2 separate regions of the Mus musculus genome follow, and region 2 is reported to be linked to region 1. The links are microRNA targets in miRTarBase. Many come from high-throughput screens and were not tested one by one. Region 1 holds a microRNA gene; the other region holds the end of a gene's coding sequence.
Evidence for each region. The annotated mature microRNA mmu-miR-421-3p reads AUCAACAGACAUUAAUUGGGCGC and lies in region 1 at 8,136-8,158, shown strand. An mRNA with a match to its seed (bases 2 to 7 or 8) in the 3' UTR can be bound and repressed. Matches are read on the target gene's strand: a 7mer-m8 pairs with bases 2 to 8, a 7mer-A1 pairs with bases 2 to 7 and ends in A, and an 8mer does both.

Region 2: miRTarBase lists Fam126b as a target of mmu-miR-421-3p. Seed matches in the 3' UTR shown: 7mer-A1 at 13,827-13,833, 7mer-m8 at 8,541-8,547, 7mer-A1 at 8,533-8,539 and 8mer at 8,510-8,517.

The regions. Positions count from the first base shown.
Region 1 is chrX:103,565,546-103,581,087 of GRCm38, reverse strand. It overlaps Mir421 (microRNA 421), which reads left to right and starts at 8,092; the gene lies at 8,092-8,167. The region is part of intron 9 of Ftx (Ftx transcript, Xist regulator (non-protein coding)); the gene reads left to right. It overlaps Mir374b (microRNA 374b), which reads left to right and starts at 7,934; the gene lies at 7,934-8,028. It overlaps Mir374c (microRNA 374c), which reads right to left and starts at 8,003; the gene lies at 7,955-8,003.
Region 2 is chr1:58,514,521-58,530,062 of GRCm38, forward strand. It overlaps Fam126b (family with sequence similarity 126, member B), which reads right to left. Exons shown (of 13, transcript NM_001310598.1): 13 at 8,286-15,542. The coding sequence ends at 15,138. Gm15834 (a long non-coding RNA gene) reads left to right here. Exons shown (of 4, transcript XR_865442.3): 2 at 5,915-6,228. Among named protein-coding and RNA genes, the nearest start is that of Gm15834, 17 kb to the left of the region's middle.

The sequences.
Region 1 (15,542 bases):
TAAGAAGACAAAAAAGGTTCTTGTGGGGCAAGTGCTGTCAGTCAGGCCCTGCATTGCCTGGTCTCTTTAGTGCTCTCTAGCTCTAGGTTTTCAACCTCCCTTTAACTATTTTGGGTTCTGTCTTTCCCTATGGTGGTGGGTCTCAGCCTGTGAGTCTTGACCCCTTAGCAATTGTCTACGACCATTGCAGACACAAATGTCTACAATAAATGTATAACCATAGCAAAATTACACGCATGAAGTACCAATGAGAATAGTTTTATGGTTGGGGGTCACCACAACATGAAGAACCGTCTTAAAGGGTCTTAGCATTGGGAAGGCTGAGAACCACTGCTCTATGGAAACTTATGGAAGTTACTCTGCCCCAAAAGTCACTTGGATTAACCCTGGCCCCTTAGCCATTCCAAATATGAGACTTGTGATCATTTTTACTCTGCCATTTGATCTTTTTAATGTGCTCTCACAGGACAACTTGAGCAGAATCTAAGAGATTCCTTTAATTACAAGGTGCAAATGTCTGCTTGGCATTAGATTTGCTGTCTCTTTGGAAGGTGTGCCGCATCTTTAGAAAATCTGTATCCTTTATGCCTGCTGCTACCCCCAGAATCTTAAGACAAGGGTAAGTTGTTTGAGATAAGGAGTGCAGATCCTTACATTAAAGGTTCACTGAGTAGGCCCTGCTGAGTTTTATGTGTAAGCATTAGAACGTTTTAATCAGTCTCCTTTCCTTCTGTAGGCTGGTGGGCTGACTCAAACTAAAGGAAACTGCATGACCCCCTCCAGCATTTTAATAGCTTGGCTTGTCATCTATTAAGGAGCAAATGGAAATCGTAGGAGTGTAATAGGAAATGTTATGGATACGGGTGATACAAGTATATGTGTTGCTTTAGGACAAGAAGGAAAGAACATCTTTCCTTTTAGATCAGCCTGACTGGTTGATTTTTTTTTTAACATTGCATAGTGCTTTCAAGAGCTAACATTCCAGGAAGCATGTATTGTAAGTAGGTAAAAACACCAGTTCTGCTCCAGTTTGTTGACAAGGCATAATCCTTTATCTGCCCCCCAGCTCACTCTAATTCTGATTTCTCCTATTTTGGAATTTATTGTATGTCCAGTGTATTTCAAGGCGGAATTTAAGGGCTGTAAGAGAACCCACTCATTTAGGACCCCTGAACAATGTTGCAAAATATGGTTTTCTGTGGCCTAATGCTATGCGATCAAGGGGCTATCAACCAACAATGGGGTAGCGTGGGAGAAAGAAATGATTTTTTTAAGCCAGGTTGTCTGTGTGTAGCTTTGGCTCTCCTCAAATTCACAAGCTTCTGCCTTGCTGTGCCTCCTAAGTCTGCCTCGTGAGTGTTGAGGTGTGTGCCACCACACCTAACTTCAAACATTCTCTTAACATGAATAGGAAAAAGGTTTTGTAACACAAGTTGCCCAGCTTATCAGGTGTGTTTGAAAATGTGATAGGTCAGCTCTCCAGCCACTGGAGTAATTGATAACAATGACTGTCGCTAAGCAGAAATGGGCAGTTTTTCTGTTTCTTTAGCTTGGAGCCTGTTCAGCACGCTCATGGACCCTCATCTTTCTATCATCCCCTTCTCTTTTGGAGATTCAACTCTCAGGGCACACTTTTTATCCCTTAGTCCTACACTATTCTAGAACTCATTTAGCACAGGCCCACTTGTGAAGTGTTGAGATTAAACTTGTCAGCCATCACTCACAGTCTAGCAACATGACTAAGCACGTATTTTCTTTCTCTTTATATTTAAGGATATAATTTTCAAAAGTTAATGTAAGAAAGGTTTCCTTAATATCACATCTATATTCCCCTGGTCAGGGAAGCCGGTTTTCTTCAGAGAAAATTTGATTGCTAGAAAAACTAGTACCTTATTTGTTCCTTGGGAGTAAAATACTATGTAATGAAACTCATTAGTAACTTGGGTGTCCTGGTGATACTACAATTTTCTTGCTAAGAAACTACAGAAGGTGCCTCTGGTTTGCTGTCGTTCCCATTAGAGTAAGACCCAGAGGTGTCCACGTAGATGCTATTATCTGTGTTTCTTTTTGAGACTGCCTGTCTTCAGCCTTTTAAATTGGTGTTTTAGTATGCATTCTGCGTTTGACCTTTGACTGGATATGTGAACATGATAGTGTGATAATTCCGAGTTTGTGGCCAGCAAGGAGCTCCTGTGCATTAACCTCTAGAATGTTGAAAGAGTAATGAAGAGAAGAAAGAAAGACCTCTCTTGTCATCAGGAGGGGGGATGAGCCTGAATGCAGTAGTGCTCTTTGTCTACCAAGAAAAGTAAATGTTTTTATGGCTGTTACATATAATGACTGCACACAATATTCAGTTTGGACCTTGCAGGTGAGGTACTTAGATATGCCTATTTTTTATTGTCTTGAATGCTTTCATTGCACTTACACAAATCCCAGTGTCACTACATATAGAAGAGTGATTCGTGTGGATTTGAGATTGAGAAGTAGCACTGTTAAACTGATTGCTTCAAGTTGTCCTTTGGCTCACATCCTTATTGTGGCGTGTGTGCATCTGCGCACACACACACACTCACATCCCACACCCTCAGATTAATTAAGGATAATGCTACTTTCCCATTCCCTCTGCATTCAAGTCACTGAGGCAGGTGGGTGACTGCCTTCTTAATTTTTGAATTCAAATTCTAGCACATGAAATATTGCCTCAGTAATGTGTAAGTGCCCTCCCTGTTTTTTGATACAGAATATTTTTCCATTACAAGTAATGAGTGATCAGAGTTGCCCAATACTGTGTAAAATGTAAGGAAGGTCAAGTAGGCAACAAATGCAAAAATCTTATCATTTTATCACAAAATGCAAAACAGTCCTTAAAACTTTGGGAATCAGAGTAGCACTACCAATCTTGTAAGGGTTGGTTATCTATGGAAAGTCAGATTAAATTCTCTTTGATATGCAATGTCCTTGACCTTTTGGAAATACTGTTCCTCCACTGATAAATCTCAAGGTCCTCTTTTCATTTACAAATGATCAAGGACAGGTTAGTAATAGCACTAAAACCAACATCCTTTGCTTTAGTCATCAGGTAATATATTTCCGGTAATAAGCTATGTCCTTTTAAAATTTAATTTAATTATTTTGGTTTTTGGTTTTGGTTTATTTTTAGTATGTATGTATGTATGTATGTATGTATGTATGTATGTATGTATGTATTTTGGTTTTTCGCGACAGGATTTCTTTGTGTAGCCCTGGCTGTCCTGGAACTCACTCTGTAGACCAGGCTGGCCTTGAACTCAGAAATCCACCTGCCTCTGCCTCCTGAGTACGGCAATTAAAGGCATGCCCCACCACTGCCCGGCGCTATGTCCTATTTTGCTCATTAGTTTATTGTGTAAGGTTATCTAATGATATTGAATCGCACTATCAAGCTTTGAACATATGGTTAAATAGAATTTCATTGTACTAAAAAAAAAAAAAAAGAATTTCATTGTACTGCTGAGCTTTCTTAGTACTTTCTCAATAATAGCATTGGAATAATTTGACTGCTTTAATGGGTGTTATTAGCAAACCCTTTGATGGTAATTGTGGAACTGCTTTTCTTGTTCATGGTAAGTATATATGCTCTGTGTCACTGAACAGTATGTCTTAATGGAAAGCTGAAGTAGGATAACTTAGAATCATACCACTGTTTCTTGTTTCACGTGACTTTGACCTGATATTTGCTGAAACAAATGAAGTCTTTGAAATTTAGGTTTCCTACAAAAAACAAAGGATAGCAGTATACTGTTCATGTGCTCTGTTTTCTCAGTGGGCATGTGTGTTGCTAGCCTTTGAATCCAAAATATTTTTTTCATGACTTGGTAAACAGTGTTAGTTTTGCTTGTATTCACTTGCAATCTCTTAAGGATATGCAAGAGTTAAGTTTCTAGGAATAATAAACTATGAGGATTAGACAGTCGCACACAGCTCCAGTGAGCTTTATTTAATGACAGATTTGTGCCATAGAGAGTTCTGGAAACACTGAGCAGGTTATAAGATGCAGATTCCCAGGGAACAAACTTCAAGAGAGTGTGGATTACATGCTTAAGTCTGATTTGTATTTGCTTGTTTTCATTCTTCAGTTGTTTGTTCACTTGGGGTGTTTGTTTTTAGTGCTTTGGGTTTTTTTCTTCTCAGGATAATGAGGTGAATTTTATTAGAAGCCAATGGGTAAGGTAGTTCATTTCTTTAGCTAAGCTGACATGGCAGTCAGGGTCTGTTTTGTAACCACCAGGCATCTTGGTAAGGGGAATCTACCTTTATTACTCCAAATATCTGGCTTCCTAGAACTTTGAGCTTAGCTTTAGGGAGTGTGGTGTTTGATTCAATATCTTTATATATAAAGGGTATGGGCATCATTTTTTGACTCTACTTCCTGCTTGGGAGGGGAGCATCATGCCTTTGGGGTCTAGAGTGTGATAAGGAAGGACACCTGACTGCTTATCTCAGAAATATCTCTACTCAGAAATATGCAACAGAAGCTGTGGCGCCTGCCTTTAATCCCATCACTCCATAGGCAGAGGCTGGTGGATATAGGAGTTCAAGGACAGCTTGATCTACAGAGCTAATTCTAGGACAGCCAGGGCTAAATATGGAAATGCTGTCTCATAAACAAAACCAAAAAGCAAAAAATCACCTGTATATACGAGGCACATTGGTTTCCAGTTATTCCATTAAACAGTTGTACTTGAATGGACCGTGAGAAGACAATTGATTTAGTCTGTGGTACTGGTTTTATGAGTTTCACTAATGCTGTTTATCTTTCATTGTGAGTTTCTATTGCTCTGTAGTGTCCTGAATCATTTTATCCTACTTCTGTATGATGTGTCATGAGAATCAACTCATTGTCTTATTGAAAACCCATCAAAAATAATTTGTGTCTCATTGCATTTTTGTAGGATTATATTTTCAATATCTTAGACTGTGTCACCTTACTGTCATGAGTAGATTTGATGTCTGGGTAACTTTTTGCTATACGCTGTTCATTCATGGATTGATTTTTGTTTTTTAAGCTTCCTCATTTACTCTCCTTTTGTGACTTCCATTATGTACCCTAACTATAGAATTCTTCTAAGACACTTTAATTTTTTGTACAATGCTTAAGACTTATTACGAGTGTTATTTGCTATATATGTTGGATTATAACTTATATTTTACCAATAATTGTCTTTTTGTGATAATTGATACTGAAGATTTTCCATTTGAGCGTCTTTGAGATGAGAATACATAGTTCCGTGCAGCCCTTTCTTCTACCTAGAGTGTTTTGTGGTTAAATGTGCTTAGGCTTTAACCCAGGACCTTGCACATGCTGGGCAAGTCCTGCTCTTGTACACCTTAATCTTTTTTTTGTTTGTTTGGTTTTTGTTTTTTTTTGTTTTGTTTTGTTTTGTTTTGTTTTGTTTTGTTTTTCGAGACAGTGTTTCTCTGTATAGCCCTGGCTGTCCTGGAACTCACTCTGTAGACCAGGCTGGCCTTGAACTCAGAAATCCACCTGCCTCTGCCTCCCGAGTGCTGGGATTAAAGGCGTGCACCACCACCCCCGGCCTGTACACCTTAATCTTGAAAATCAACTTTAATCCTTAACCGCTTTGATGGTCCCCATTTTCTAGTAAAACTTTGTTTCTCCACTTGATATGTTCCCATTTAATGATCACCACAACAGCCTTCTGATGCATTCCAGTGAGGTTTTAAAGGCAATTATCTAACACCTAAGCACAATCATAAAAATTCTGTGCACCAGGAAGACTATAGTCTACCCTTGCATATCTAATATATATGTAGAAAACAAGCGCAGGAACTCTGGGTATGTGGGATAGAGCATTTTGGAGGATGTTCCTGTTGCCTGCTCATGGTAGAGCATGTCCCCAACATGTGTGTTACAAAGGGCTTAATCTCTAGCACAAAAAAAACAGGCAATATTATTCACTTCTACATTTTGTTTTTGGAATAGCTGACAATGAAAATTACAAACAGTATTTTATAAACATAATCTGTAAATGGGAAAATCACATCAAGGATACATTCCCTTTGTCTACCTTGAAATGATCCAAGGCCAGCCTTGTCTACAAAGCCAGTTCCTGAACAGCCAGGGCTACATCGAGCAACCCTGTCTCAACAGGGTAAACAAGGAATGAAAGAAAGATTGATAGTCTCTTACTATGTTAGGTAATGTAGCTTTTATGCAAACTTTAATCAGTGGTTCTGAAGGCTTAAGTTTTCAGTAACATATTGTTGGAGAAATTTGTATCCAGACATCCTTATTGGCCTTGAATTCGTTTAAAGGTATTTTCTGCTCCTTGTCTAAGGGACTGCCAGAAAATGGGTTATACTGCAAGGTTGTGTTTAGTTGAGTATGGATGAGAATTGGGCTCAAGACACTGGAGCTGCTGTTCATCTTCCTACTTGGCTCAGAGACATGACGATTTATACCAGATTGTCTGTCCATTTTAAACTTCTAACTATGAATATAGATACACCTTAAGGGTCTTCAATTTCAAGGTGCTTATTACCCTATAATCTTAAACCCCAGGCTAAGATTATTTATTGATAATGCTGCCAACAAATGTCTTTTAACTCATGAGTAACTTTTGTCGGGGCTACAAGGGGTTTTTTAAGAGTCTGTTTCCCTCTCAGATCACTTTTTCATGTTGATCTAAATGTTTGTCCACAGTTCAAATCATTTATTATTATTATTATTCAGTTCTCTCAGTAGTCAGGATATTGAATTAGTCCCAAAGATGAGAGATATTCAGGTATATAGATTAAACCTTACAGGCTGACTAGTTACTCGCTAAGAGGTTTGGGGTAGGATATATGGAGGAGAGTTTTACAGGGAAGGAATTTTTTGTCATGGATAGCTGCCATCCTCTCATTCCTTAGATATACATTTAGTTTCTTCTCCATAGAAGAGCCGTATCTAGGAACTGCCAATCCTCAGTAAGACACGGAGATAGCAGCGGTGCCCCATCATTCTCATCTGAATAGTCTCTTGTCACTGGCAGGCTTTCTCCTGAACTTTATTTTTCTTTTGAAGTGTTTAGAGACTTGAAATGTTCATTGCTTTACTTTGAAGCATCAGATATGTGTAATATCCACTCTAGGGTTTCTGATCTCAAAGCATTATAAAGCAAGGCATGTTGGCACATGCCTAGAATCCCAGCATTTCGGGTCCTTATACAGGAAGACCATCTTGACTTTGAGTCCAGTCTGGGTTTCATAACAAGTCCCTGACTGAAACAAACAACAAAATCTATGAACATGTTTTCTACTCAGACCTATCGTATTGATCTTTACTATTCAAATAATGCATTTATAATGAGGACAATTTTACTTAAGTAAATGGTTCAGATTTGGGAAAGGAAGCTCTGAAGTGTGCATGCAAACAGTGACTCTAGGGTTTGGGCATAGGCATTAGCTGGCCTGTTTGTTAATTGCGTCCACTCAATGCTATCTTAGTTATTGTTGCTGTTAATGATGGAGCGGGCAATGCAAGAATTAAAAGAAGAAAGTTAATTATTATTATACCTTTTGAATGGTCAATGGTGTTGTGGGGAGGGATCATGGACGTTTTTAATGATTCACTAATGTGAAGTTAGCCCATGTAGGAAACTCGATGATTCTTCCATTCATGCTCTTGATTAGTAATCTATTGCCTTTCTTCTTTGTTCTAAGTTAAAAGCTTTTGAAAACTTGTGTTATAGCTGAATAAAGGTTTTTGTATAAACACAGAAAAGGATGTTTGGGGAATGGTCACAGTTGACCTGAAGCCGAATTCTAACTGATAACTAGCTATGTTAGTTCTTGTGACTGTCATCCCTGGAGAGCAAGAAACAACAGCTGGCCTTGGTGATCAGGAGAACTTCATGGATCGCGCAGCAACCTGGAGTGGTGTTCCTCTGAAGAAATCCTACTCGGGTGGATATAATACAACCTGCTAAGTGTTCTAGCACTTAGCAGGTTGTATTATCATTGTCCGAGGTTATGGCTCTCGTCTATCAAACTAATCCGTAAGGGCAAGGATGGTGACTTTGTACTCACAGTGCCTAATCCGGTGCACATTGTAGGCCTCATTAAATGTTTGTTGAATGAAAAAATGAATCATCAACAGACATTAATTGGGCGCCTGCTCTGTGATCTCCATGGGCTCAGCTTGTTCCTGCCAGTGGCCTTCAACGTTCAAGCTCTCCGCAGCGTCCTTATTTCTGCAGCTCATTCCTGTGTTCTGTGTAGTATAATCATAGTGGATATATTTTACCTTTCAAACCAATTCCAATTGATTGATAATTGTGCCTCGACTGTGTTTTATAAAAAGGATTCCATATCTGGTTCTTTTCTATCCTGAGGGTGTGGAAGGAAGGGATAATAGCTCATGTACCATAAATGTGATATTTTCTATGAAATACTGTATTTATGCCTGTGTTTTGGAAATGCCTGCTTGTCATTGTTGCATCTCTGTTGTTGTTACTATAATCGCTACCGATTACTCCCTAGGTTGGACTACAGTGATCACTGAGTAGGAGCTTCGTCTTTAAAATCTGGGGTGTGCTGTTATGGTTGGTATTCATTTTCCTTTACCCGCTTTCCCCATACCTCCATTTATAATTTTATTGCTGCTCATAGCTCCAGAAGGATATAGTAACAGAGCAGGCATGGCCTCAGTGTGGTAAGCTAAGTGAGAACAGGAAGTGGAACCAGGGTAGAAAACCCCAGTCTTGCCCCTAGTGACACACCTCAAGCAAGGTTCTCCTTCTGAAAGGTCCCATTACATTCCCAAATGTAGCCACCACCTGGGATATGAGTGTTCAAATACATGAGGTAGGGCCACGGTGTTCCTTCAAAGCACCACAGAGGGCAGAATGTACACCCTGCTAGAATAGCTTTCTATGAAAGGATCCATCTCTTCACTGGAGCAGGCAGACATATGAAGAAGACAACTTGGAGTGGTCGTGAAAGGATTTGAGGTTTGGCATGGACTCTAAGAAGCACGAGATTTGTGGTTTTCCTTCTTTGTTTCTTGCTAGGTAGTCCTGGCTGTCTAGTAACTACCTACAAAGATCAAGGAGACCCCAATCTTGTAGCAATCCTGCTGCTGCCTCACAATTGTTAGGATTATAGACATGGGCACATGTTCATTAGAAAGTTGCACTGTTCTCTAATTCATCTTTTAAGATAAACTATAGAGGGATGAAGATTAGCATGTTACACCACCACAGATAGAAACCATTCTAGTATCACGAAACATCCAACTCATGTAGAATTTCCATTCGCTGTTTGGGATGATAGAGAGATGGAATTGAGTTTTTAGAAGGTAAACCACACAAGAGAGTCTAGGGAACTGACAGAGCCTGGCTGGACTGCACAGTTCGTCCTCAAACGACTTTTTACTGACCCAGCTCCTGAGGAAAGGACCCTGGTGTCTGAACTTCAACGCTGATTTAATAATCATTGTTTTCATGACTGGTCCTTTAGAAATCTGGCCTGCTTTATATTTGCCCCTGGGGCTTAGACAAGGGAGAAAAATGGAAAATACTGTCCGAGGTAACCACAGCCACACAGAACCTCATACACCAAGTGGTTAGCCTTATCATAGAGCACAGGTGCCTGTTCTCAGTCACATGCTAGCCCTGTCTTAGGATTTTGTTTACATTAACCATTCTATTTCACAGTATTAATGTCCTTATACACAAGATACACAGAAATCTTTGTTGTGTTAGACATCAACAATGAAAAATCCCTCAGGCCCAAATATCAGAAGATAGCACGAAAATACCAAGTCAGAACGAAGAGGGTGGCCAGTGGATTTGAAGGTAGATGCAGACTTTATCATGGTTACTCCTACAATACAGAACATTCTTGTTTATTAGTCTGATACCAGCCATCTGATGTCATGTTGGCAACTAGAGAAGCTTTATATAAGAACAGGAGCTCTGTAAGAAAATATTGTAGGAATTAGGCTTTATAAGACAATCGTGGCCCTTGGCAGTCTTGGTTAAGTCTCTTAGGATGGTTAGGGTAGAACTTAGGTGTGAAAAGTCTTGACTTTCAATTATTCTACATTGAATTCCCAGAACACCTGAGTCAAGCTTTATTGTGTTTATTACCCTTGGTCTTGCCTCCTCATTCTTGTGTGGACTCCTTAACTCCTGCCTCTCTTTACCCAACCCAAATGTGTTTCAGCAATCTTCTTTCCCTGCCCAGTACTGGATCTGTGAAAAGCTGAATCATGAATCAGTGAGTGTGCGGATTGGAACCCAAGTTGCTCTCTGGATAGAACGAAAGGAGTCGTGCCCCAAGAAGATGGAGAGGGAAGTTATGAAATGCTGTGACCAAATAACAAATGCTGATGTTTGGGGAGATAACTGTTTCCCATAGGAAATAGAGTGAATGCGATGTCTTTCTTTTGTGAGGGATTCATAGACCGCTTCTCAACGCTTGTTACATGTTACTCCTTTTTTCGAGATTTTTATTTACCTAACTGGGAAAGAAACCAGAACAAGGTTTTCATTGAATTCTGATACAGGTATTTAAAGACTTACGGACAAGATATAGAAGAAGAAGTGGTAATTAACTGATTAAAGAAGTACAGTTTATATCCAGTAGACAGACAGGCTCCAGACATCCTTAGTGCTGTCTTAGCATCAAAGGTTAATCTACCTAATACTTGTCATCCTGAAATGCATGGTGGAACATCCAACAGACAAGAGCTACTTCAGGGAAGGACTATGATTTTTGTCGTGGAAGACATTTAACACAGGGCAGCTCCTGTGCACTTACATGATAGATATTGCTCTTCCGGGGACTCTGAATGCTCATCCCACTTTCAGCTCACTAGGCACATCGAACTAGAAATTTTATCATCTCGTGAATTAGTCCAATACCTGAAGGAGCAAGAGAACCAACACCCAGTTGACAAGAATATGACCTGTTGATTGAAGACCATTAAGAAAGTAACTTGATTCAGTTGGACTGGACTTTTTTATTCTATTGAAAAAGGAATTTATTTCCCCTCAGTGAACGTAACATGATCAACATTTTGAAAGTTGTGAACATGCATAGTTCTATAATTTACAAAATAATTATAAAAATCTGAGTATGGATGCAGCATAATTTCAGAACAGAATAGCCATCATACTTTTTATATATCTTAAATTCGAGTTTTCAAGAGTATATTTCTATGTTATATCCTTTGATTAGTACAATATAAAATCTACATCTAATATGTACTTCAGGTTTTATTAGATCATGCCATATTACTGTACAATTTGGACTTTTCCATTTTTATATAAAATGTAACATGCATTGTACATTAATATTTATATATCTTGTTTATTTATATATCTTTAGAATTAATTTCTGCCAATTATTTTCTTTATTTGAATACTTGGGGTATCATAAAGGTGCTGTTGAGGTATTCTCAATATGCTTGTACAACTTCCTGCCTGTAGTTAATAAATGTGGATATTTCATTAAACAATTGAAATATAACATTTTGATGGTATCTGATTGTAGTTCTATAGATTGTAAAATATATGTAGTTGCATATCTTCAGTCCATGCAGACTGTTTTTGTGGCTGGGGGTTGTTTCCTGGAGAGGGTGTGTTGCCTTGCCTTTTCTTGAGTTGTGTATGTGCCATCATGCCGAGCAGTTGGAAGTCTTCTAAATTCAGTCACTTTTTACCCCTTTGCGTGGGAACGACTAATTTGATTGATATACATAGCTAATATTTTGACTTCTAGAAAGTGAAATCCGTAGAATCATATGTAATGTTTAGAGTTTGGAGTCTGGCTGCTCTCACTTCCTAAATGTAATTGAGATTTACCCATGCAGATGGGCATTAGACCATTCTGTAGTTATTTAACGTGGAATATTTCTGCTTCTGACAGTTACAAGCAAAGTTCATAGGTAATTTTAGGTATAATTGTCCTTAGCTCTGTGTATGAGTCAATATGATTATAGTAGCCAGACACTAGAGGTATCCGATTTCGCCTGGACCTGGTGTTACAGGCATTTGTCAGCTGCCCAACATGGGTGAGTTTCCTTTTCTTTTGGTGTTTAATTCTTCCCACCTTCCAAATATTAATTCTGTCAGAAGATCTGCCATTCTTTCCTTTGCTGCGCACTGTACTTTCATGTGATCCCATTTATCAGACTTTGCTATTATTTCTTAAGCTGTTGTAGTCTTTTGAAGAATTATTGCCTATGCTATTAATTCAAAGTATTCTCCATTTTCCTATATGAGTTTGTGGCTTTATTTTAAGGTGTTTTATCCATTTTTTTATCCATGGGAACTTTTGTTGAAAGCAGGGAGACATGTCCAGTGTTTACAACTGAGCTCTCTGCCATTGGCTCCCACTTTGGTAAGGGAGCTGAATGATGGCTATGGCTTTCAAATATATGAGATAGATGCCCGTGGTACCTAATATGGCAATTCACCGAATTCAAGGTACAAAGGAAGGCCATCTGAAAGTGATAGGACCAGTGAGCGTTCCTACTAAGTCTCAGAATTATTACCCTCCCCCACCACCACCCCCGCAAACAAACAAAAATCCCTGTGGTAAAGGCCCCAAGGCATGGGATTGTTTCCCAGTGAGAATGCATAAGCACAATAGTTTGTCAGTATTGACCCAGGAGTAGAGGCTGAATTCACCATTGCACATGCCTATGTCAGCTATTTTAATAAACTTATTCAGGTAAGTGGCTGGAGCGATGGCTCAGGAGCCTTTGGTTGGATTCCCAGCACCCTATTTTGCCTTCTGCATGGAATATGCGCATACATGGTATAGAGACACAGAGACATGCAGGTAGAACATCTATGTGCATAAAACACTACCAATCATGCTAATAGTTTTTAAAAGGAGGTTTTCTGCGACATCCATGTTAGGTGTCTATGCAGTGTAGTCTGAAGTGTGATGTTGGTGTTATTCGTTGGTCTGAGGATTGCTTTGGCTCTTTGCATACGAATTGCAATATTTTACGCTAGTTATCTGATGAATATCATTCAAATTTGCACTTAATTTGTAGATCACATCAATTAATATGACTTATTCTATGTTTAGTGTTGGGCAGTGTCTAGTGTATTAATCTGCTTCACAGTTTTCATTTCTGAGATCTTGGTTACATTTATTTATACTTGTTTAATATTTATAAATCTCTTATGCATGGAATTTTTTTTAGTATAGAATAGAGTTTATTTACAACATGGGAAGGGAGTTGAGGCTGTAGAGACAAAGAAAGGCAGAGTGAGAGACAGTTTATTTACAACATGGGAAGGGAGTTGAGGCTGTAGAGACAAAGAAAGGCAGAGTGAGAGACGGGGGACGGGGGGTGGGGAAGAAGTAGAGGCCGTCCATGAGCACTAGGAGAGAGAGCAAGAGGGCAAGCATGAATGTTTAATATTACTTACAGAGAAGCTGCAGGTGGCAATGGTTTGTGCCTCATTTCTGTAGCTAAGAATTCAAAACTATATTGACTAAATAATATGAGGGCGGGGCAGCCCTATGTCATTCCTCATTGCTGAGAAAAGTTTCAGGTAGACACCATTCATCATTGTGTTGTCTCTGCATTGAGTATAGCACTTATACTCAGATAATATTCTTCTTAAAGCATTGTCAGCATCTATTAAGATGATCATGTGATTTCTGACCTTGATTCTGTGTATGTAAAATATTTCATTTTTTTGTATTATGAAACCATCTTTTAAATGAAACCAGTTTACTATGCTCTGTTGTCTTTTCATTGTGTTCTTGAATTTAGTTTGCAAGTATTTTATTGAGGATTTATGTTAATCAAGGACAAAATATTTTGCATATTCACAGAATGTGCTTGGATGAAGTCCTTTCTGTTATATGGTAGAATTCAGCAGTGAGTATTATGTGGTCCTGAGCTTTTCTTCATTTGGAAGACATACCCTGGATGAGTGGTTGTCTAGCATTCAATGATGTGTCATCATTGTACAAACCTGTATCCCCAGCACTCTGAGAAGAACACTAGAAAGAATAGCAGTTCAGAGTCGTTCTCAAGTTCATAGCCAGTTGAAGCCTTGAATATATGTCACCTGTTCTTAAAAACTTTGGGTGTGTGAGTGTGTTTGTCTGTGTCTCTGTGGTGTGGGTGTGGGTGTGTACCCCGAGAATTGCAAATTTCAGTCATAGGTGAAAAAACAATTTTGGTGGTCAAAGGGAAATAATGTATTTATGTTCTACATTTATTATTTCCCATTAACTAGTAGATTTGGACATAATTTGTTCCTTTGTCCAATTCCATGAGGTATACAGTTTGCTTTAGCATTCTTTTTTGATGTTGTAGTTTATTGCTATAAGCTTCCCTTTTAGAATCCCCTTCCCTTTGTTTCAAAGCCTGAAATGTGTTGTGTTTACATTTTGATTTGTCTCCAGATAGTTTTTGCTTCCCTTTTGATTGCTTCTGTGACCCACTGATTGTTCAGGGGTATGTTGTGTCATTTCCTTGTATTTGTAAAATTTCCAAACACCTTCCTGTTATGATTTCTTATTTCATCACTTTAAGGTCAGAGGTATTACTTTAAATTATTTCAATCTTTCTAAATTTGTCGTGGCTGTGGGTGGCCTTGAATTCGAGCTGCAGCAATTTTTGTATGTGCTTGATAAGGTGTATGTTGTTTTAGTGATGGAATGTTCTGGATGCTTTCAGTTCATTTGCACTTGCATTTTTTCTTTCGGTATTTCCTTGCTAATTTCCTGCCTCTGCCCTATGCACTGTTGAAAGTGACATCTACTTGCTTTGTGTGCTTACATCTTCTTGGGAGCACAGGCATTTACTACATCCTGATTGGCTTCTTCTTAGAAGATATGACTTAGCATATCTCCTTGCTTGTATTTACCATTTATATCAAGTATCTTTTTTGATTCCCACATCTTCAGCATATATATACCCTCAAATAGTTATATTTAATATAATTGTCAATAAAACTTTACTTTTATTTTTTTCTAAGATTCACTTGTTTCTCGTTGTTTCTCTCTGTTTTAGTTGTTGTTGTTGTTATTGGTTTTTAACCCTGGGCTACCCTGAAATTCACTATGTAGCTCACTTGAACGTAAACTTCTAACACATGTCCTGTCTTAGGGTCCCAAGAACTCCCTGCCCCCAGAATCTCTCCACCCTGGTGTACATGCTTAAAAATGCAGATATTAATGCTGGACATAAGGGTCTAGGTGTGGATTCTCTAGTCATTGAACACAGCCTGTGAACAAAGCTCCTAAGATGCTCAGACAACCTTACAGAGTTCATTGCAGATTCACCAATGCATGAGATTGCCCTGCCACAATGAGAAAATCCTCACTGAAAAGCAGAAATTCATAGGAATAAATTCAGCACAAAATAAATGCAGATAAAAGTTATTTTTTTAATGAGAGAGAAAGCCCAGATGGCTGAGAACTTAAATGTTCAACATGCTTAGTCACCACAGAAATGCAAATCAGAATGGCTAAGATCAAAAACTCGAGTGACAGTACATGCTGTTGAGGATGTG
Region 2 (15,542 bases), not on the chromosome of region 1:
ATTTATAAACAGCTCATCTAATGGGAGAGAAGCATATATAATTTGATCACATGTTTCTTCTCTTGAGTTTTCCCCCTACTTCACAAATAATTGAATTACGCTGTAGCCACTGTTTTTGAAATGTTGGAAAATCAAGTTTTAATTTGTATACTAATAACCAATATATAGCTCATGGTTTACAATTTCTTGAAATTGTTCCTTTTTTGATACTGCTAATTCTCAAATTTTATAGTTATTTATACAAATACAGCTTAATTTAAGAAACAGGGACTGTTCCCTTACTTTATAGGACATTTAAGAGCTCATACTGGATTGCCTGGACCCCTGCACAATGCCATAGCAGATTTGTCTACCAGGAAGATTATAGGCCTTATTGGAACAATTAGTCAAACAATCTCACTCTTTACATCATCAAAATAGTAATAGTTTGAGACAACAAGTTGGTATTTCTAGAAAATAGGCATGCCAGATTGTAAAGACTTGTTCTCAGTGTCCTCAGTTTCTTCATGTACCACATAATGGTGTTAATCCTTAAGGACTCGTACCTAATTAATTATGACAAATAAATATTACTCTTATTTCCTATTATCCTAAAGGACAACGTATTGTGGAACAGGCCCATAGAACTTAAAACCATTATCTTCATAACAACCACAAAAGGGGGAATTATATCCCTGTATGCCACAAAAATATTTAAATCATGCTTTTTATTTGAAAATTTTTAAATTTGGATACCATGAAACTCTCTGAGTGTGAGAGGAGCAGCTACTGGTGCTTCTACCCTGAATTTGCAAGGAAAAAATTGTGAGCTCCTTAGTATGGCAATAGATACAGATATAGAAAGGATAGAAAACTCTATTTCCCATTTGCAAGAATCTCTAACCTCCTTGTCTGAGGTGGTCCTTCAAAACAGGAGAGGACTTGATCTTTTATTCTTTCAACATGGAGGACTATGTGCATCCCTTAATTGAAGAATATTACTTTACATCGATCATCAGGAATAGTAAAGGATTCTATGGCTAAAGTTAGAGAAGGAGTAGACAAAAGGAAAAGAAAAAAAGGACAGAATCAGGGATGGTTTGAATCCTGATTCTCCACTTCCCCATGGCTTACAACTTTAATTTGTACACTGCTTAGACCACTAATTATAACCTTATTGCTTTTAACTTTTGGACCTTGTATCTCAAACAGATTGGTTGCCTTCATACGGGATCACTTTCAGCAAGCTCAGCTATTCACCGTGGCAGTTATTCATCAGTATGAAGAAATGCATTAAGTGCATATTCATATGTTCTATGTGGCTTTGGTCTGAATAGGAAAGAGTATGATATAGGAAACCAGTAGTCAGAGTTGGGTAAGAGTGTTCTTGAGCTCCTATCGACCTAGGACAGAGACATACATCAATGCTATGTTTATCCTCCATGATGGGTAAGAAGGAGCAATATAGACACTGACCTAAGACAGGTACAATCACCTGGCCACTCTTTACCCTAGACAGGATTATGGAAAACAAGTAAATCTTGTGCCCCCAGCCAGCAATTGGTACTCCTCATCTTTAAAAAGCAAAAAAGGGGGGATTGTGCCCTTCCCAGCCTTGAGCACGTTTTTTTTTCTGCCTTAAGCAGACTGAATAGACCTTGCCAAATTAGACGTTAATGACCTAGGTGGAGTCATCTGCCTTGGTTGCACATGCAACTTCCTCCAGAAACTTAGAAAAACAGACTTCTCACTGACCTTGCTTTGCAACATAATCCACCTGAAACAAAGGATGGAGTCTGTGAGTGCTCCTATACAAATGCAGTGCTGAATATTAATATGGAGCCTTGATCAGAACCTTGTCTTGGCTTCATTCTTCTCTCGCCGCTCCTGCCCCCTGCCCCCCCCAAGTCTCTTTCATTTTCAGCTACCCTTTCAGGTAAACCCAGTTTGTCCATGGCTCCTGGACAGCTACAAAAAGGCATGCTTTTTCTTAATTTCTCTAACCATTCAGAGGCAACTTTTGTAGCATCAAATTTCAGGGGTTTAGCATCATTTAGATTCAGATTTCTTGATGTAATTGAATTCAATCCAACACTTGCAAGACTCTATCTCCATACCAAGGTTCTGAAACATTGAAAGCATAACAAATGAAGGTTGATGAAGTACCATAGCAATGTCAGATGTACAATTAGTTAAGTTACAGTCATAGCAACTTACATTGAATCTAAACCCATACACAGTGATGTTAATTTTCTCTGTCAACAATGCATATGGCAGGGAAATGCAGGCAAGTACATTTCCCACTGTTGTCAGTCTGAACCCAACCTAGTGTTCATCTCTGTTTAGTAGTTGTGCTAGTTGCTTTAATCTCTCCCAAAGCCACAGCAAGTTTCCAGACATAAGTCTGTGATGATCCAGTGTTTGTCCACCAAAGTCCTGCATGCAGTCCTTTTTACCAGTCATCTGAGTTTGCTTGGGGACTCTGCTCAAGTTGGCATCAGGAAGTGGCCCATCAGCAACAGCAACAGCATCATGTGTCTGGTCAATTGCTTTCTCCACATAGTGAACCAAATGCTCTGGAATCTACCTGTCACTTTCAGCATCCTGTGGAAAAGAGAAACATGCCCTCTTCCCCATATTAATATCTGATCAGAACCATGCCATATGTCAGTAAGTGGGTCCTTCCATTTCACCTGGGCATAAGTATACCTAGTTGTGCCGTGCCATAGATGCTTAGCAGCAACATTTTATTTTATTTTTTTGTAACTGATTTTTTTTTAGAGCTCCATGGAATTGTTCCACAATTCCCTGTCTTTGTGGATTAAAAAATATATTACTATATATCTAACTAATTACTATATATCTAACTATATATTACTATATATCTAACTTATAATATTTTAAAAATATTTTTATTATTAGTTTAAGATATAAATGGTTTATAACATAAGTCTGAACTTTTATAAATATAAGGTATAAAACTTTACATAAATGTTAAAACAAATTCTTTTTAAAATAAATTATATATTTTAAAATATTTAAATGTTTGATTAAGATAATTAGACTTTATCCATCTTATGAAATACTGCCTCAGTATCCACCATAAATTTGCTTCCTGTCTGCAGCAACCTGGCCACAAAATTCTGGAACAACTCAATCTGGACCCTGCCCAATTCCAGAAAAATCCTCCGTCTGCCTCTCTGTAGAAGATAAGTTTATACCAGGCTTTCTTAGTTTAACCTAATCATTAACTTGTGCATAAACAGGTGGGTCAAAATTTAATTGTTGAGCAGTCTCGTGGTACTCTCCCTTTCCTGCTAACATCTCAAACATAATATGTATCTCTTATGTTCGATTGATCTCAGCAGTACTTTGACACTGCTCAGCAAATTCTGACTTCCATAATAAAGAAAATCTCCTGACAACTAGGCCCTTACCAATTGTTTCCAGTCCCAAGGAGGGAGGGCCTCTGTGAACAATGGCTCAAGCATAGCCAGAGTACATGGGGCTGTTGGCCCATAATGTGCATAAGCAGACTCTAATTCCTTAACAGTTTAAACAGAAGAGGTTGATAAACTCTGACTATTGCCTTGAGGACTGACCTGTTCTATAACTGGAAATGTAAAATGAAATCCCTGGACATTCTCTCTTCTCTTACTTAGCAGCCTCTTTCAAGATCACTTACTTGTAAGGGAAATAAAAGCCTCTGTGAAGGCTATCTCCCAGATGGCTTTCTCATTAACTGCTACAACTGGAGGCTCTGCCTCCATCTCTGGAGGAGGGTCCGGTCCAGCTCCAACACTTGGGGTTTTACTGGCTCTCAGCTTAGTAATCCATCTGATGGTCCCAAGATCTCCCCTTGAGCTTGTTGAGCCTGTAAGTTTTGCATTTGCACAGATAGTGAAGTAAAAGCAGTTAGCAGCTGTTGTATCTTCTCTGTAACTAACCTGTCCTTGGAAAGAACTTCAATTCTTCCGTGGCAGCAAGCAGCAAAGAATTCGACTATGATACCTAGCAGTTTCCTCTTGCAGCTGCTCGTCTTTCCCGAATCTAGGATCTCCCTGTTCCTTTCTCCAACATTAACAGAACATTGAGCCCCTTGCCTTGAACTTCAAGTGTATCCCCTCTTTTTATTCCAAATGTAAGCCGGCCAGGAAATCTGCCAGCAGACTCTGACCTACCTTGACTCTGCCTGACAGGCAGGTGTTCACAGAAGCAGGCAAAAATGGCTCCTGACAATGGATGGGAATTAGGAAAACACTGAAACCTGGGGCTCTGAATTTATGATAAAGATAGATTGGGCAGGAGGGCCTATGACAGACTCTTTACAATCAAATTAGATAAGCAAATACCTACACAATTTGCACCTATAACTCTATAGCTCTAGGCCATAATAACATACTGGCACCCCCTCTGCCGTGCAAACAATCCAATCCCCTGAAACCACCACAAGGCATGGATGGGCAAGCCCATGTCCAAACCTCCTACAGAGACATAGACCCTGTCCTATTACATCTTCTTGAAGCCACCTGCCAAGTGCGTAATCAGTCTCCCACAGATCTGAGGACTCTTGACTATGCTTGAATGCCTCTTTTCTCCACCCCACCCCCATATTATTATCTAAGGGTCAATGGTTCACCAAAGAATGATACTCTGGACTCAAACAGTATGTAAATACAGTACTTTATTCTGCAGAAGTCCAGCATGCTGGGGTCTCCCATTACCAAGATAGAGAGATCCCAAAGTGAGCTTTCAGGCTCAATTTAAAGCACATTAGGGAAATTATGGAATAGGTGACCTCTATCTTAATCTGTTGAGTCCATCTCAAAGGAAATTCCAGAACTATGGAGTCATGGGGCTGGAAACTGTTGCTGGAGAAGTCTGGAAACTTGCTGAGGAAGTCTGGAAACTGCGGCTGGCCCTTGCCTTAGGCCAGGTGGCAGGGCAGCTTCTGACTAGCTACCTGAAACCTGTAGTTTTTGTTGTTGTTGTTTTCAGTAACTGACTTGCCTGAGCTTGCCTGGACTTGTCCATTTCTTGGAAACAGAGATTTAGGCCTAGTCTCCTTAACTGCCAATTTGAAGCCTATCCCATCCCTCTCAATGATGGAATAGCCCTTACTTCTTCTGTAACAGAATGTCATGAACCTAAGTATTGCAGATGGCAGCAAGAGGGTTCCAGATGAATCACTCTGGGGACAGGGTAACTCTGTGCCTCTGAGATACTCCCAGTTATGTGACACCAAAGTATCTTGGACAGGTTCAGGGAACTTGGTTCCTTCTGAGAACATGTGGTGGGTATGTTCTACTGGTCTAACTCCATGTATTCACCCTCGAGTCTTAAATGCCTCCTCTGATTTCTGTGTCCTGGTACAAATCATCCCAAGGATAATGTATTGTCTTAGTCAGGGTTTCTATTCCTGCACAAACATCATAACCAAGAAGCAAGTTGGGGAGGAAAGGGTTTATTTAGTTTACACTTCCACACTGCTGTTCATCACCAAAGGAAGTCAGGACTGGAACTCAAGCAGATCAGGAAGCAGGAGCTGATGCAGATGCCATGGAGGGATGTTACTTACAGGCTTGCTTCCCCTGGCTTGCTCAGCTTGCTTTCTTATAGAACCCAAGACTACCAGCCCAGAGATGGCACCACCCACAAGGGACCCTCCTCCCTGGATTGCTAATTGAGAAAATGCCTTACAGCTGGATCTCATGGAGGCATTTCCCTCACCTGAAGCTCCTTTCTCTGTGATAACTCCAGCTTGTGTCGAGTTGACACAAAACCAGCCAGTACATGTATCATTCAGGAGATGTCCAAAATTATTCACTCCTGGGCTTCATAAATGTTTCAAAATTGAACCCATAACTACCATTGTTTTGTCCACCCTCTTGGGTATAGGTATTGCAGGGGCCATAGGCATGTATTTTCATTGCAGGACATAAGAGAAATACATCTGAAACTGAGTTGGAAGCTTCCCCTCTGCTGCCTAGCTTTTACAGGCCTGGAAGGTGCTACACAGGTTGCTGGGGTGAGCTGTCACCAACAGATGCTATTGGCTTCAGCATGCTACTCTCCTGGCCTGGCTGGCACACAAGCTGTGGCTACTGGTGCAACAGTGGCATGACTGATACAGAGGTAACCAACAACTTTCTGATGGTATTTGTGCCAGTTCCATGGAAGAAAACTCACATCCTGACAGTGAACCTGGTCAAAAGCTTGTGGCTCGAGAGGTTTGCAGGGCTATGTGAGGTAAGGTCTTTTTATTCTGCTAAATGTGCATAATCTGTCAAATTGCCTTCTAAATGTTTTTAAGCTCAGAGATTAGTGAGTGCTCGTGTGCTTTGATCAAAGCAGTTTTTCTTTGCAGTAGGCAGTATTTATTACAGATACTTAGAACTGAACTGCTAAGAAAAATGATTTGAATCATCAGCCACAAATGATTATCATAGCACCTTCCAATGACTGTGACATCCTCTATGCTTTGCAACCAAAGTATATGGTATTTTTAGGAACAGTGTCTTGCCCTCTAGTTCTTCTATCAAAGCAGAAACCATTGCCTATGTTGTTTTGGGGCCTCAGAGATAAAAACAAACAAACAAACAAACAAACAAAAAACAAAATTTCAAAGGTCAGCAGATTGGCATGAAGCTAGATTTTCCCTTCCAAGGGTCAGAAAATAAGAGGACTTGAGTAAATTATTATTTCCCTCCATATTTGTTTAACATCCATTACTAATTAATATATATATTTTCTGTAGTTTTTCTAGATGCTCATTTCTAGTTTTAGTCCAGTAAGGTCAAATAGGTTACATACATTTTACTATGGTTGATTTTAGAGAAAGTCTCATGGATTACTGGGAATATGTATTCCATGCTGTTGAACAGAATATTCTGGGTATCTGTTATGTACGTTTGATCTAAGATGTTTCTTTGACAACTCTTTGTCTGGATGGCCTTGCCACTGTTGAGAATTGGATAATAGTTATCCACTATTATTTTTTTTAAAGGTGAAGTGTTTGTGAAATGCTTCCTTCTTGGCATGGCCTGGCCATTGTACTCTTGGCCTCGGAGCTGTGACCACCTATACATCAAGACTAGACTAGTCAACATATAAGGAAGGGATGAGGGACTCAGCAGGCTCTCCCCCCCCCCCCACATCTATCTACAGGCAATTAGTGGTTGCAAGGGAAGAGTTCACAAGTCCCCAACCCCCCTCGGCATTTTATTGCCAGTTACAGCTTCTGAGGAGTCTTACGTTTGCAGTATAAGCATAAAGACCCCAGAGCACACATAAAAAAATGGCCAACTATGGCTTTATTCTTAGTAGCCCAGGCTGGCCTTAAACTCAACTCATGATCTTCCTGTACACTTGTTGTTCTGGTATTGTGGAGGCAGAGACTGGAGGATTCCTGGGACTTCTGGCCAGCCAACCTAGTTTTAACTGCTGAGCATCAGGCCATTGACACTTGTCTCAAAGAGGCTGTCATTCTCTAGGATGGAATCCCAGGTTTTCTTCTGGCCTCTGCACACACATGAACCCTGCCACTCACAGATGCATTAAAAAGAAATCAGCAGTGCTGGGGTACAGGAGAGAGGAGAATTTTCAAAAGAAAATTCTGAGCCTTCTCATTAATAAAGCTGGCTCCTCTGTAAACAAGCATTTGGCTGCTTTAGTGTTAAATGTGTGTCCCGACAATTAGCATACCAAAATGTAGATCTGTTCTATATATTTTATGAATCAATTTCACTTACACTTTTATAATTATAAAATTCACTTATTCATTGCATGTGTGGAGGTCACAGGAAACCTTGTGGAGTTGTTCTCCTTACATCATGCAGGTCCCAGGGGTTAGGGTCATCAGGCTTAGACACAAACATCTTTGCCAGATAATACTTCTTAAGGGCCTAGTCCTCTTTTGAAACACATTTTCTCATTCTGTTAGCCCAGGATGACTACAGCAATCCTCCTGCCTTAGCCTCCGAGTGCTGGGATTACAGCTGTGTACCATCACAGCAGAGTTTTTGGTCTTTGTGTTATTTCCTGGTGTCATATAAGTTTAATGTAATGTAAACGTCCAGATATACCTAGGAAGGTGTGATGGTGGGAGGCAGACACAGCTGGATCTCTAGGAGTTATATGCTAGCCTTGTCTACATGGCAAGTTCTAGGCCAGCCAGGGTTACTCAGTGAGATTCTGCTTCAAAATGAAATAAAAACAGACACATAAGTAAAATCACATTTGAAAATACAATGAAAGGACTATGGTAGAGTATAAAACTAAGGTAAGATACAATCAACTCAGGGAAATCCAGTTAAAAGCCAAATAAAGCTGTATTTTTATACTGTACAAAAGAAATTTTACATTCTTAATGTAGCTAGATACATCAAGGGGGGAATGACACATCCCTCAGGAGACACAATATTTAACATCTGAGATGTTTTATTTCTGCATTGCAGACGGATACTAAATTTTATACATCTTTATTTACAATAAATTAAAATATTTTTCATCTCTGGCAGATATTTACAAGTTCAACAGTGACACATTTCACATTTCAACAATCAACAGCATCGATCCATTCAATAAGACAAGATAATGGCTCACATGCACCAGTACATAAGATCTTAAATGTGCATTTTGGTTTTTTTTTTCTTCAGCTCTGAAACAAACAAAAAAAGATTTTTCACTAGTCCTAAGTTGAAAGACATCTCTTAATAAAGATCATACTTCTTATATGCCTACCCATAATGTTCACCAGCAGAATCCTCTCAATACTTGGGAAGTTTATACCAAGCTATAAATTGATACAGGTTAACAATAACAATAGGCTGATCAAATATATCTGTCCTTTTACAGAAACAAATAATGAAAATGGGATGTTCTGTTTGCCTGTTACAGAAATCACAGTACATAAAGCCAAGGTAGTAAAATCTGTACACTGCTAAAACAGTTTCATCTAATCAGTTTTAAACTGAATGTTAGCCAGCCTAGTTTTTAGAACCAAAAAGATTCAGTGTAAAAAAACATGATAAACCTCATACTAATATTTTTAACATCAAATGGAATATTATCTTTGCACTGTATTCAGATAATAAAATTAAAAGTAATACAAACCATTATCAGTCATTATTTGAAGGCCAATCTTCTCTTCCCAAGAACAATACATTTTTTGTTTGTTGTTTTGAGACAGGGTCTCACTGTGTAGCCTTGGCAGTCCTGGAACTCACTCTATAGACCAGCCTGGCCTTGAACTCAGAGATCTGCCTCCCTCTGCCTCTGAGTGCTGGGATTAAAGGCATGTACTACCACACCACTTAAATATTTATTAACTATAATGTGGTATTAAAAAATTAAAGAACGTGTTTAAAATAGCAGTTAAAAAAACAACTATAAATCGTTATTTAAGAAATCATTAGACAGCTTAAACACTGTAGATCTTTTTGGCCTACATATTTCAGAAGCAGTTATTTTATCTTCTTTTAACCCAACCATGTTTTAATGCAAAGACAAAAAGCAGTCAAGAGTGAACACAGACATAAATGTAAACTAACCTAACCATATCAGTATAGCTAGTATTATACTAGAAATAGATGACACTGTCCATTGAAGGGTACCTTTCAATAATTTTTCCTATAATTTTACCTAAACAACCCATAATATACAATATACCAACTTCAGGAGTTTCCCCCATTTATTCCAATACTGATATGCAAAATCCTTAACTTTAATAAAAATATGTCATAAGGAATAAAATTAAGACTTATTCTTTAATTGGTACTCTCAGTTGAGTACTGACATCTTATTGATGTAGGGAAAAATAGGATATTATCTATTTACTGTATATGTTTTCTAGTTCACATAATGTATTAATATTTGTTTCTTTCAGGGTTAGAAAGAAGTCACTACATTAAAGGGGGGTACATTCCTTAATAGATGCCTTAAAAATGATTTGTCAGCAGAAACATTTTCTTTGGTAAATTTTGTAAATTGATGAAGACGTAAGATGTTTTCTGATATGAGTGACACTGAGCTGTTTACACCAAAATACAGCAACTGCATAGCAAACTTGCAGATGGGGCAGATTATCTGATTAAGTTCATTTTTCTTTGTCAATGAAAAGACCTTCTACTTCCAGATACACAAGTTTTAAAAAAAAGTTGACTTATACCTTAAAATACACCTAATTCTACCTTTTTTTTTTTTTTTTGGTAAAACCATATTAAATGTAGTAGTATAATTACTATCAGACATACGACTATGCCTTAATTTGTAAACATTAAGAACCCATCTTCTCAAAATTCAGAAGCAAAACACAGAAACTCTCCTATGCTATTCCGCCAGTTACCTCACACGACCCGACATTTCTGTGAGACTGTGTCCTGAATTATTTGGTCTTGGATTTTATTTTTCATAGGACAAATGGCTAACATTACAAAAATACTGGAGGAAAAAAGAGAAATGTTGTCATTATGTTGTCAGGATTAAACGAGATGCATCTACAAGGACAAGAGGCTGGGCTGTGCCTCCTATGTAGTAGTTTCATACCAGTGTGATGCATCCATTAGATTCACACACTATAAACAATACTAGAATTTGGCTCATCTCCTTTGCATGGAAAATTGTACTAACCTGATGACTCATTATTTTATTTTTACACTATATTCCATGTTTATATAATCTGGTAAATATTCTATTTTTAAGAGGTTAAGCTGCCAGTAGCTAGTTTTCAGTCACTTATTTTTGGAAACCACTTTAAGGAAATTAGAAGTATTATAGTAAGTATCTCACAACTTGGTGGTGAAGCAACGGCAGTGGTCATTTTGCTTGAGAGAGAAAAGCCTCCTGTTTTAATGCTTGATATAACCACAGTGCAGAAAAGTTGCTCTACGTTCTAATGTTGTAGAATTTCTGACCACTAGCATGACATATTAATCTCTTTAAATTGAAAAACTATGTCATTGGAATACTAAACTTTTTCATTAAATTAAAAAGAAAAACCTTACTTTATAATGTAATTCAAGTTCAGAAATGGAGTGGTCCCACTTGCCAGTGTTTATACAGTATGTTACCCTACCCATAAAGACAGAAACTAGTATTTTTATTTATAAATAAACATACAGTGGATTAAATGAGACACTGATTGTCAACAACTTAAGTACTAAACAATGGACCCAAAGAAGCCTCCTAAGTGAGGTAGGAAAAACGCACCACTGCATTAAGGTATTCACAAAAGCAGTGCAGACAAATGCAACGGAATGTAAAAGCTACTAAATGGAATCGAGACTACCAGCTGGAGATACTGAGCTTATGTAGCTAAGACTACCACACTTGAGTTGTTTTTATCTGGTCTATATGTGATAAATGACCCAGAGACCACTGTGCATGGATTCAAAGTTTCACACTCACTATTCTTCTTTTTCAGTAACGTAGAGGAATATTGCTCTTATCTACTCTAAGCCGAGTAAGGAACAATTTCTCTCTAGATGAAAAATGAATGGAATTGAGTTTATCTTTACTCTGCAATCTTCTACAGTGTACCTTTGATGACTGAAAACTGGCTGATTAAAGATCACTTTCAAATAGTTAGAAACACTGATCAAGGAAATTTCATTGGGTTTATTTTGCATCTAAACAAATCCCCCAAAATACAAATAACATGGCAGCATATAACTGTTATGTGGTAGAAAATTCACAAGGCATAAATTAGAAAAGAATAATGTGCTATACAGACACCTACATTTTGAACACATCCCCATCTGTATTAATTATTTTACTTTTTTTTTCCTTCTGGAATTAATACTTTTCTTAATGTGTTCACCAGCTACTAGACCAGAAACATAAAGAAATAGCAGAAATGGAAGTGTTTCATATCACATTTACTAAAGTATGGATAACCAGAGGCAATGAGGCATCAATATGCACGTGACTAGAGACAAGGTTTGATTATGGCCCTGCTTCTTAGTCATGGGCCTTATTTCACATCCTCCTTTGAGCCTCAGTGTCCTGAGGATGCAATGTGTGTGTATGGCAGAGAGAAGAGCCAAATTATCTCTAGGGTCTCTTCTAGCACAGAAACCTGATCTGCAACAAACAGGCACAGCACAGTGGGCTGCGAAAAAAGGGGCATTGGCAAAGGACCAAGATTTTAAATGACAACTCTTCCCTCCCTAGCTTGTAAGTTAACTTTTTACTTTATATTTTAGCTTTCTTACCAGTAAAACTAACTGAAAGTCATATAGAAAAACTCCTAAAACCTTCAGATACTGTAGTCCTTAATCTAACCTAGTACAGATGGCATCAATATAAGACAAATATTTTCCCCTAAATGCTTTTTTTCTACTAGTGCGATGAAGCTTCATGAAAGCTGAGAAATATTAAAGGGAAGTTATTAAAGGTTAAATTATGGACATTTCTAACTTTCTATGACATTTTTAACAGCTGCTGTATAACTGAACAAAAACCATTTTAAATTCAATGATGGTAACATAAAGTGGTTGAAATGATCATTAGAAAACTTGGTAGTTTGTCTAATTTTAATTCATTTCATTTTAACTGTTATCTTACACAGAAAATGTATTCTAAGACCCTTGCTATAAAGTGTAAATGAAGAACTTGTTCATTGAGACCAAATTATAGCCCAAAGAATATGAAGCAAATGTTTCAGGATTGTGAAATATTACTTGGGATGTATATACAAAGTCTACACATGCCAACAAAAAGATGAAAAAAACCTTTTTTTTTTTTTTTTTTTCTTTTCTGAGACAGGCCTTCTCTGTGTAGCCCTGGCTGTCCTAGAACTCCATCTGTAGACCAGGCCAGCCTTGAACTCAGAGATTCACCTGCTTCTGCCTCTGGAGTGCTGGGATTCAAGGTGTATGCCACCATTCCTGATTCTTAAACCAACTCTTCAGTTATGATGTTTCTAATCAAAAGATTTTTTCTCATATTTACAACAGTTTATGCTATACTTTCAAGTTATTTGGTATTCTCTTGTGCTTTATTTAAAATGCTTGGTTTAAATGCCAGTCTGTTACATGTGCGCCTGTGAGCTCCAGCATGAAGTAGGCGTGCTTTGCCATCTAAGACTGATACCTTCCTTATGCACCACAAAGCCTCTCTGTTCAGTAGGTTACAAAAACATTTTATTTTACTATTTTACAATTCTTTTTTCTTTTAAGTTTACTTGATATCTCTTAGTTAAATTAGTAGAAATAGGGCTAAAATGTGTCTGTGATAAATGGATACACATATCATACGCATATTATAAACAATCAATAGATCACATTTCAGCTTTTAGTTTTACTCCAAAGTTTGGCAATGATGTGGATAATAGCTGAGGTTCTAGTTCCCTATTTGCTGGGAGCTGAAAAATGTTATAAACTATCAAATCTAATTAAGGATTATTCTAACACAATGCAGACAGACAGATGGACAGATAGACAACTCCTCCAAAAATGGTGGTTTATGTATGAAAAAAAAAAGAGAGGCGTTTTCCTGGCTATTTAATTTATCAAATTTTACGGTAAATAGAGATAAAACAACTTTGTCAATTAAGAGGACACTTGCTTCCTATATAGGCAGTGTAATTTTCATTCACAATACATAAAATGTCTACATGTACAAGGGTGTGTGTAACTGATGTTCTTGAGATGGGTAATTCATAGCAATTGAAGTCACACAATACTGATTTTTAAAATCCTAATATATTCCCTTCTTTTTCAAACAAAGCCTGAGACCCAGAAGAGATTATAAGAAAGTCTTATCCAACCAAATCACAACAAAAATCCTTTAAACTAATAATGCATTTTTGTAGCCTCTTAGCAGTTACCAAATGCTACTCATTTACATTCAACATCTAGTTTACTGGCATGATTTCAACGTTTTATAAAAACGAGAAACTTTGCAGATAATCAGAAGATACACAAACTGCAATAAACACAAAGGCAGTGTGGTCCTTGTAGAGCAATCAAGTCAGTACCCTCTGGTAGAAATGTTCTATACAAATGTGTCACATAGAAGCATCAGTGTTTTCAACCAATCACCTGTCCCTGATGTGTTTCCTTGGAGTATATGATCTCAGGACTTTAGGTTTCTGTATCCCATATCTGACTGAATCTAGGTACATCTAGGAAGCAGCTGAAAGGGTTTCTCTAGTCTGATATCTCAGAGAGTGGACTGAGAAATCCCTCTCTTTACCTGAAGACGTACAGTGTCTACTTCAGTCATCACCAACTCACAAAGGAAAGGAAGAAAGAAAACAATTATAACTTCACCTCATTTACAATCTCACACAAACTAAACAAACAACACCCTTCCCCCAACAAAGCCCCAGCACCATAATATCAATCATTCCTGGGAAATAGAACACGCCCCTTTGAGTCTCTGATTTGTTAGTTCAAACTTTAAGGGCAGAAATGTCCTTAAGTCCTTGTGGGAGGAGGGAAGACCTGTTGTTAATGACTAGAGAGCCATTGAGAAAGTGCATTATCAATCACACAATCAACTTAGAGCCCTACCCTCCAATGGAGGTGGTCACAAATTGATTTAAATGCCTCAATAATTAAACATTTGTGTCCTTGGGATAAAGTAAGGGGGGCAGTTAGCCTCATTTTAATAAAAAAATTGCAGTAGTCTACCACTTTCCCCCATGCTTCCCAAGAATATAAAATTGCACAGGCTCAGAGAAGCCCAAAGTCATAGCAGAATCTCTGAGGCACTCCTGGTTAGAGAGAAAACATATGATCCAGTTATCTTCATAGTTCATAGATTATGTGAACAAACCCGTTTTGTTTTTAAACAAAAGCCAAAGAATCATTTCATAGGGATCTTATACACCATTTCCTCGACATCTCCTCAGTCTCACAGTGTTGAAATGGGACCGATCAGCCTACGATGGATTGCACATCACCCAAGGAGAAAGGAAGGCATGGAAAAGGCAAACGTTTTACACTGCTTCACAAACACATTTAAGGGAATAGGTAGAGAGGTTAAAAGAAAGGAAAGGAAAACCTTATTGCTGTTTCCATACAAAATACAGTATGAGATACCTAAGCTAAGTCAAATCTGATGACAGTGACATCTTTTCACAATGCGGGATGACGTGTCTTGCACAATGAAATGTTCAGTGTAGAAGGTTAGCAGAACAAGGGGCATCAGAACTACACCTGGGATATTAGCTGCATATTGAAACTTGGGGATCGAGACTGCTTGGTTAAGGGGGCTCCTGGGCTGAGGAGCTCTTTACCTTCACCAGCGTGACCTAGCCGGTCTTCTTGTAGACTGATAGTTGAATATCGATTAGCATTTGTAGCTGCTAGATTAGTAACTCCCTCAGTGCCAACCCCAATGCTGGTACTTGCTTGACCGCCATTTACATAGTCAAAAGATTTACTTGAGGAAGCACTGGCTGTCCGGATTAGACTCAGACTATTGGTTTTTGGCACCACCTGGCCTGCAGGCAGGCTCAAGTGTTTCTTCATCGGTGTCAGCTCAACTGAATCTATGCTGAGATCTGCTTGTTGTTGTACAAACTGCTTTCCAACTACTGAATCTCGAGGGCTCTC